Linked DNA regions of Sus scrofa. Each later gene encodes a partner of the first gene's protein in a complex. Links are inferred from orthologs where the notes say so. Each region holds a gene or a part of one and is shown in the gene's direction. Other genes may lie near its edges. The genes, in order: ANXA11 and TARDBP.

Region 1 (3,813 bases):
ACAGTGTCCTCTGCAGCACTGCTCAGTGACAGTTGCCCCTTGTCACCTTTCCTGCCCTGTTCTCAAGGTGCCTGGTTTCCCAGCAGCAGAGGATCCCCTGCAGAGGGAGGAAGTAGAGGGAGTCACTAAGAGTCAGATGTTACTGCTGCAGCTGCTGCTGTGCGTCAGTAGCAGGGAGGTGGCACTAGCCAGTCAGCCATCTTTGTCCTACTACTGCCACCTCTGTCACCACTTGAGCAGCAAGAGAGGGAGCTGACAGGTGATTCTGGGAAGGTTCTGTCTTGAATGTCCTGGAGCTGAAGCCAAACCTGAGGCCCTCAGGTTCTTTCCACTGCCATGGATGGGGCTGCATCTAACAGGCCAGCAGCCTGAAGGGTGATGCTGGCTGTTGTGCTTGTCACAGTGACAACTGTAACATATGAATGCTCACCAGGCCCCCAGCTAAGCCCTGCCCAGCATTAACTCACTTAATCCTCATCACAGTTTGAGACAAACGCTAACTATCCCCACTTCACCTGAGGAAACAGCCAGGATGGTTGAGTGCCTTGCCCCAGAGCACATACCCAGGTGCCACTGGTTTCAGAGGTGTGGCTTTTTGCTGCTGTTCCCCTGCTATCCCCTTAACAAGGATGGGTGTTTTCCCTGACTGAGCCCCGTCTCCTTCCATCCTGTCATCTTGCTTCTCCCTGCCTCTTCCAGACTTGCGATGTTAGCAAACAGCCAGCTGGGCAGGACCCCCACCCTCACCCGCTCTGGTCTGTCAGTGCTCCCTGAGCTCACCGCTGTCCTGGGCTCAGCACAGTGTCCCCGAGAGAGATCTGTCTGTACTTGTGCTCCACGAGGGTGAGCCCAGGGGGGCAGGTCTGCCCTTGGCCCCTCTACCTGCTTAATAATTTCACAGAGGGTTTGGGAGGGTTTGCTGAACCCCTCCTTCCTCCCTAGAAGGCAAGGAAGGTTCCCTCTTCTCTTGCTCTGCCAGGGGGATTGGGTTAGACTTCCTTGCTGAGTATTTTCTGTGTGGTATACAGGGCCGTCCGAGGCTCTGCTTGGCCTTCCCTCCCAGCTGCCTGGGAGCTGATGTCTCTGCCTTTCCCTGTTGGAGGGCCGTTCTGGGGCTAACCGGCTTGCTGTTGCTTTCAGGTGGTGCCTGGGGAGGCGCTGCCTACCCGCCACCCAGCATGCCCCCCATTGGGCTGGATAATGTGGCCAACTACGCAGGGCAGTTCAACCAGGACTATCTCTCAGGAATGGTGAGTCCAGCCTTCCCGCCGGGCTTCCCTGGGGCTGCACTAGCATGGCCTGAAGGATGAAGCTGGCTCCCATGGTGTCAGAGGGTTTGTGTGTGTGAGAGAGGGAGAGAGAGAGAGATTACCTGTGGTCCCCAAGGGTATGTATTGAGCTATATCTAAGGACATAAAGGTTTTCATCAGGGCTCTCACTGTGTCTTGATTTTCCCATCTGTAAAATGAAGGGCAGGGAAATGCTTTGGACCACATCGTCTCCCAGGACCCTTTCGGCTCTAGGGGATTGGGTAGGGGTGTGCCTTCAGGGCACATACATCACGCACCATATGAGCTCAGCATAGGGACGAGCGGGGTAAGGGTATGCACCTCTTGCATGCACATGCCCTGTAAAAGTGGCCACATGCACCTGCATGTTATATATGTTTATGTGAGGATAACTGTTCTGAGTGGGCCTGGAAGCGGGTGCCTGGTTGCACAAGCAAACATAATACTTTTGTTGATTTGCTTGTAAAGTAGTATATTTTATAATCCAAAAACAAATGCATGCTCACTGTAAACGCAACCAATACTTGGCCTCATCTGTGCCAGGCCCATTCTGGGCACTGGGGGTAGAAAAATCCCAGCCCTGGAGTGCTTACCATCCACTGGGAAGAGACACATGGCATAAGGGAACCATGTGGTATTAGAGGAAGTCTGAGTACTTTGGCCACAAGGGCAGGTAAAAGGGTCAGCGATGCAGTTGGAGGGCATGTAGGACAAGGTGTGCGGTCAGGGTGGGCCTTGCTGAGAAGCTGGTGGTGCTCAGACTCACCTTGAGCAGAGTGTAGCCCCGGGTACCTGCTGCTGGCTCCCTCAGGGCGGGGAAGGGCAGATGGACGGAGGGCAGCCTTGTTTCTCAGAGGCTGTCAGTCTAAGGCTCTGCTTTGTGGACTTTCAGGCAGCCAACATGTCCGGGACGTTCGGAGGAGCCAATGTGCCAAACTTGTACCCAGGGGCCCCTGGGGGTGGTTATCCTCCGGTCCCCCCAGGGGGGTTTGGGCAGCCCCCCTCTGCCCAGCAGCCTGTTCCTCCATATGGAATGTACCCGCCCCCAGGAGGAAACCCACCCTCTGGGATGCCTACATATCCGCCATACCCAGGGGCCCCTGTGCCAGGCCAGCCCATGCCACCCCCCGGGCAGCAGCCCCCGGGAGCCTACCCTGGACAGCCCCCCATGCCCTATGCTGGGCAGTCGCCAATGCCACCTCCCGGGCAGCAGCCGATGCCAAGCTACCCAGGATACTCGGGGTCCGGGACCGTCACCCCTGCTGTGCCGCCAGCCCAGGTGAGTGCCAGCCCTATGCTATTCTCTGTCCAGGCCTAGCTCCAAAGGCTCAAGACACGTGGCCTAGTGTCCTCTGACAGCAAGACTGGGGAGGTTGCGGGGATGGGGGAGGGCCCAGTCCTCCAGCTGTAACCTCTGGTTTTCAGTGTCACTTTCTCACAGACTCCCTGTACCCCGGTTTTATTGCTGAGGCCCTAGGCACAGTTGCCTGGTTTTTCCCAGTGGTTAAATGGGCCCCATGAGCTTTGGGTTTGAATGCCCCCAGTACTCTTCATTCCTCTTGTGTTTTTTATTGCCTTGGGTCTGTGCTTTGTAAGAACTGGTCTCAAGGTCTATGCCCAGGGGCTGTTAGTCTTCTGTCCCCTGGATGTGCTCTCTCAGACTGGTATCAGAGGATTCTTAAAACCAGCTCCTTTGAGCAGGGAAGATTGTTGGCAGTTCTTTCAGGGCTGCTCTTGGCTCATTTTGGAGAGCAGTTCATGTTTACAGAGCCTAGAATTCATTGTCATGGTTACATGGCCAAACCAGCCAAGCACAGGGCTAGCAGTATGTGGTTGATGACTATTTTTAGTCAGAGGGTCCATTCCCCTCCCTTTCCCACACCCACACATCCCCCGCCCCAACCTCTGCCTTGCTTGTCATACTCCCTCTCTGCCTTCCCGCTTATCTTTGTTTTCAGCTTAACTCCTTAACTCTTAGAACCAGTTTGTACTAGATAATCCACCAGGAGACAGTTTAGGTAGGAAAAGTCATGTTTGCTTGGAGTGCAGCTGTTGTGTCAGGAAGAAGTCCTGCAGGCGAGCAGGTCACGGGATCCAGAAAATGGGGCCCGGAAACCAGAGCTAGTCCAGGAGGCTGCGTGTGCTAGGCTGGACACCTGCATCCTGGAGGGAACACCTTTTCCTAATGTGCATTGAAGGTGGACTGGCCAGGCCCCTTAGGGGAGCCCTGATGTGTCTCTGGTGGTCCCCTATTCCCGAGGATCATTCTTAATCAGGACCCAGGTGAGGGGAGATTTTCAGCATCAGGACTTAGCTCTAGGTGGGCTCTTAGCCACAGGAGCCAGGCATCAGTGCCAGGACATGACGACAGGTAACAGTCACCTTAGGCCAACTCAGCATCGAGTCCCCTGTGCCACTGGTTGCAGGCTCCTTCAGGTACCCCAGCTTTTAGAAGATAGGTCATTCGCAGAGTCTGGGGTGGACAGTCTCACATCTGGAGGAATATAGATAGCACCTTTCTGTC
Region 2 (3,813 bases), on another chromosome or scaffold:
CTAGCTGAAACAAATGTACCAACCACCCTGGTGGGAAATACTGATAATGGAGTGGGCTATGCGTTGTGTACCAGGGGTATGTGGGAAGTCTATACCTTCCTTAATTTTGCTGTGAACTTAATACTGCTACAAAAGTGTCTTTTTGTCTAAATGTCATCTAGTTCCTCTCTTCCTTTCCAAATTTTGGCCTTTTAAAATAACCTAAGGTTTTTCTTTTTATTACAAAATTAACACAAATTCATTGTTGAAAGTTTAGAAACAAAACAAGGAAAATTCGGAGTTCCCGTCATGGCCCCCTGGTTAACAAATTGGGCTAGGAACCGATCCCTGGCCTTGCTCAGTGGGTTAAGGATCCGGCATTGCCATGAGCTATGGTGTAGGTCGAAGACACGCCTCAGATCCTGAGTTGCCGTGGCTGTGGTGTAGGTTGTCTGCTACAGCTCCTATTAGACCCCTAGCCTGGACCCTCCATATGTCGTGGGTACAGCTCCAGAAAAAGACCAAAAGAAAAAAAAAAAACAAGGAAAATTGAAATCACCCTTAAATCCGCAAGCTAGAGATAAAAGTTGCTAATTTTTTTGGTAGATAGACTTCAAGTTATAGGTATTAAAATAATTAAGCAAGTATATTTAACAGATACACTGTTATTCACCTGTTTTTTCCCTTCCTTAATGTTTTTTGGGGGGTTTTGTTGGTTTTTGCTTTTTAGGGCTACACCTGCAGTGTATGGAAGTTTCCAGGGTAGGGGTCCAATCAGAACTGCAGCTGCTAGCCAACACCATAGCCATAGCAACGCGGGGTCCAAGCTGTGTCTGCCACCTACACCACAGCTCAGGGCAATGCCGGGATTGAACACGCATCCTCATGAATACCAGTCAGGTTCATAACCCACTGAGCCCCTTAATGTATTATTTAAAGCAGGAACTCCCCTTAATGTATTATTTAAAGTCAAGTGAAGTAACTGGTTGGTGGGGGTGGCTGGGAGGCTGTGCCCAAGGCACACGAAAGGTCCTCGGCCAGATACCAGACTCACTTGTGCCACAGCAGCGACCCAAGCCGCTAGAGTAGCAAAGCCAGATCCTAAACCCACTGCACCACAAGAGAACTAAAGTGAAGTAACTTTTGACACACCTTTTGAGAGGGAAGAACATACAGTCGTAGTCTTAAGCTATTATAAAAGCAGAGGAAGGAATCCCTGGACTTGTTCCAGAAGAGCATCTCAGCCACTTACTCAATCCCTTATTGTGTCTTGGAGAGCAAACATCACAGCCTAAAGTTTCCAGTGTCTTGTGCTCTAGAATGTTTTTGCTTCTCGTTCTCTAGGTGAAGGAAGTAATGTGTTTTAAGAAGGGTTAAATGAAAGTTCTAAAAGGTTTCTGCTGGTTTTGTTTAGATAACAAAAGAAAAATGGATGAAACAGATGCCTCATCAGCAGTGAAAGTGAAAAGAGCAGTCCAGAAAACATCTGATTTAATAGTGTTGGGTCTCCCATGGAAGACGACTGAACAGGATCTAAAAGAATATTTTAGCACCTTTGGAGAGGTTCTTATGGTTCAGGTAAACTTTGGTTTCATTTAAGAGTTTTTCATTTTCAGTAAATGAGCACAGAGGATTCTTATTGTTTTAGTGACACTGCTCTTTTTTATGTTCACTAGGGTATTATTAATATTTGTTGTATGTATATATAAGGAGTGATGAAGTTACAGTGTTTTTATGCATGTACTCTAGTTTGGTTATGTGTTATGTGTGGTTTTAGTAAATTTAAATGATTTTTCTAGGTCAAGAAAGATATTAAAACTGGTCATTCAAAAGGATTTGGCTTTGTTCGTTTTACGGAATATGAAACCCAGGTTAAAGTAATGTCACAGCGACATATGATAGATGGACGATGGTGTGACTGTAAACTTCCAAATTCTAAGGTACTTTCCTCTTTTTCTCTCTGCTTTGGCCTTTTTTTTCTGACAAACTTCCTTAGAAGACACTGTAAAATAAACCATTACAGTAGGAAAGTGTAGTAGCAGCGTGTGTCCTTAAAATCTTTTGCTTTGGACCTTAATGCATGCTGAATATTTTGTATGTTTGCAGTACTTAGTTTTTTGTGGTTTTTTTTCGTCTTTTTGCTATTTCTTGGGCCGCTCCCTCGGCATATGGAGGTTCCCAGGCTAGGGGTCCAATAGGAGCTATAGCCACCGGCCTACGCCAGAGCCACAGCAACGCGGGATCCGAGCCACGTCTGCAACCTACACCACAGCTCACGGCAACTCTGGATCGTTAACCCACTGAGCAAGGGCAGGGAGCGAACCCGCAACCTCATGGTTCCTAGTCGGATTCGTTAACCACTGCGCCACGATGGGAACTCCTGCAGTACTTAGTTTATTACCCCTCCAAACAAAAACCTTGTTTATTCTTCCTTTTTTTTTTTTTTTTTTTTTTGCTTTTTTTTTTAGGGCCGCACCCAAGGCACATGAAGTTCCCAGGCTAGAGGTCAAATCAGAGCTACAGCTGCTGGCCTACAATCTACACCACAGCTCACAGCAATGCCAGATCCTTAACCCACTGAGAGAGACCAGGGATCGAACTCACAACCTCATGGTTACTAGTTGGATTCATTAGCACCTGAACTGAGAAGGGAACGCCTCTCTTGTTACATTTTAATGAGTTAACAATTTCTTACATCCTTAACACAGTAAAACATGAAGACCATTAGATGATGGAGGATGATGTGTACAGAAGGATATATATATATATAACTGGTTTTCTATACAACAGAAATTGACAACATTGTAAATCAACTATAATTTTAAAAAGTTTTTTGTTAATGAAGACAATTAGGAGTTCCTGTCGTGACGCAGTGGTTAACGAATCTGACTAGGAACCATGAGGTTGCAGATTCGATCCCTGGCCTTGCTCAGTGGGTTAAGGATTCTGCGTTACTGTGGCTCTGGTGTAGGCCGGTGGCTACACCTCCGATTAGACCCCTAGCCTGAGAATCTCCATATACCATGGGAGCAGCTCTAAAAAAGGCAAAAAGAAAAAACAAAACAAAAAGAAGACAATTAGAATACATTAATCTTGTTGTCAAAGACTAACCTGTCCAAGCAAGCAAGACTGGCTTATTTGGAACATTATCATCTTTGGCAAGACATTCTCAGTCATTGACTTTCCTTAATCCAAATATACTGCATTGGAGTTCCCTTCGTGGTGCAGTGGAAATGAATCCAGCTAGGAACCATGAGGTTGCTGGTTTGATCCCTGGCCTCACTCAGTGGGTTAAGGATTCGGCGTTGCAGTGAGCTGTGGTGTAGGTTGCAGACACGGCTCCTATCCTGCTTTGCTGTGGCTCTGGCGTGGGCAGGCAACAACAGCTCTGATTAGACCCCTAGCCTGGGAACCTCCATACACCTCTGGTGCGGCCCTAAAAAGGACAAATGACAAAAAAAAACTTGCATCAACTTCAAGGTTTAGATTTTATTCTCCACTGAAGTCTTAAAAGTGCTAACGCAAAAAAAAAAAAAAAAAAAAAAAAAAAAAGACTATCTACTTTTTAATGACTCATCTAATATAAAAGCAATAGGTTTTGTAACATTCTCTAACATGATTTTTCGTTGCTCATAAAATGTTTGTGATGGTTTTTCTTCCTTCCACTTTGACCAGCAAAGCCCAGATGAGCCTTTGAGAAGCAGAAAGGTGTTTGTTGGGCGCTGTACAGAGGACATGACTGCTGATGAGCTGCAGCAGTTCTTTTGCCAGTACGGAGAAGTGGTAGATGTCTTCATTCCCAAACCATTCAGGGCTTTTGCCTTTGTTACATTT

Evidence for each region.
Region 2: the proteins of ANXA11 (region 1) and TARDBP are in contact, whole or in part, in a cryo-EM structure (PDB 9FOR), measured with the Homo sapiens proteins. The link is inferred for Sus scrofa from reciprocal best matches to the Homo sapiens genes ANXA11 and TARDBP. Residues at the interface, in NP_001148.1 of Homo sapiens: Gly56, Met57, Ala59, Met61, Ser62, Gly63, Phe65, Asn69, Pro71, Asn72, Leu73; in NP_031401.1 of Homo sapiens: Ala328, Leu330, Ser332, Trp334, Gly335, Met337, Gly338, Met339, Ala341, Ser342, Gln343.

The regions. Positions count from the first base shown.
Region 1 is NC_010456.5:81,862,594-81,866,406, forward strand, and holds part of ANXA11 (annexin A11), read left to right. Parts: intron 1-1,140; coding exon 1,141-1,250; intron 1,251-2,181; coding exon 2,182-2,568; intron 2,569-3,813. UniProt on the Homo sapiens protein: Binds specifically to calcyclin in a calcium-dependent manner. Required for midbody formation and completion of the terminal phase of cytokinesis.
Region 2 is NC_010448.4:71,216,441-71,220,253, forward strand, and holds part of TARDBP (TAR DNA-binding protein 43), read left to right. Parts: intron 1-1,393; coding exon 1,394-1,557; intron 1,558-1,778; coding exon 1,779-1,919; intron 1,920-3,654; coding exon 3,655-3,813. UniProt on the Homo sapiens protein: RNA-binding protein that is involved in various steps of RNA biogenesis and processing.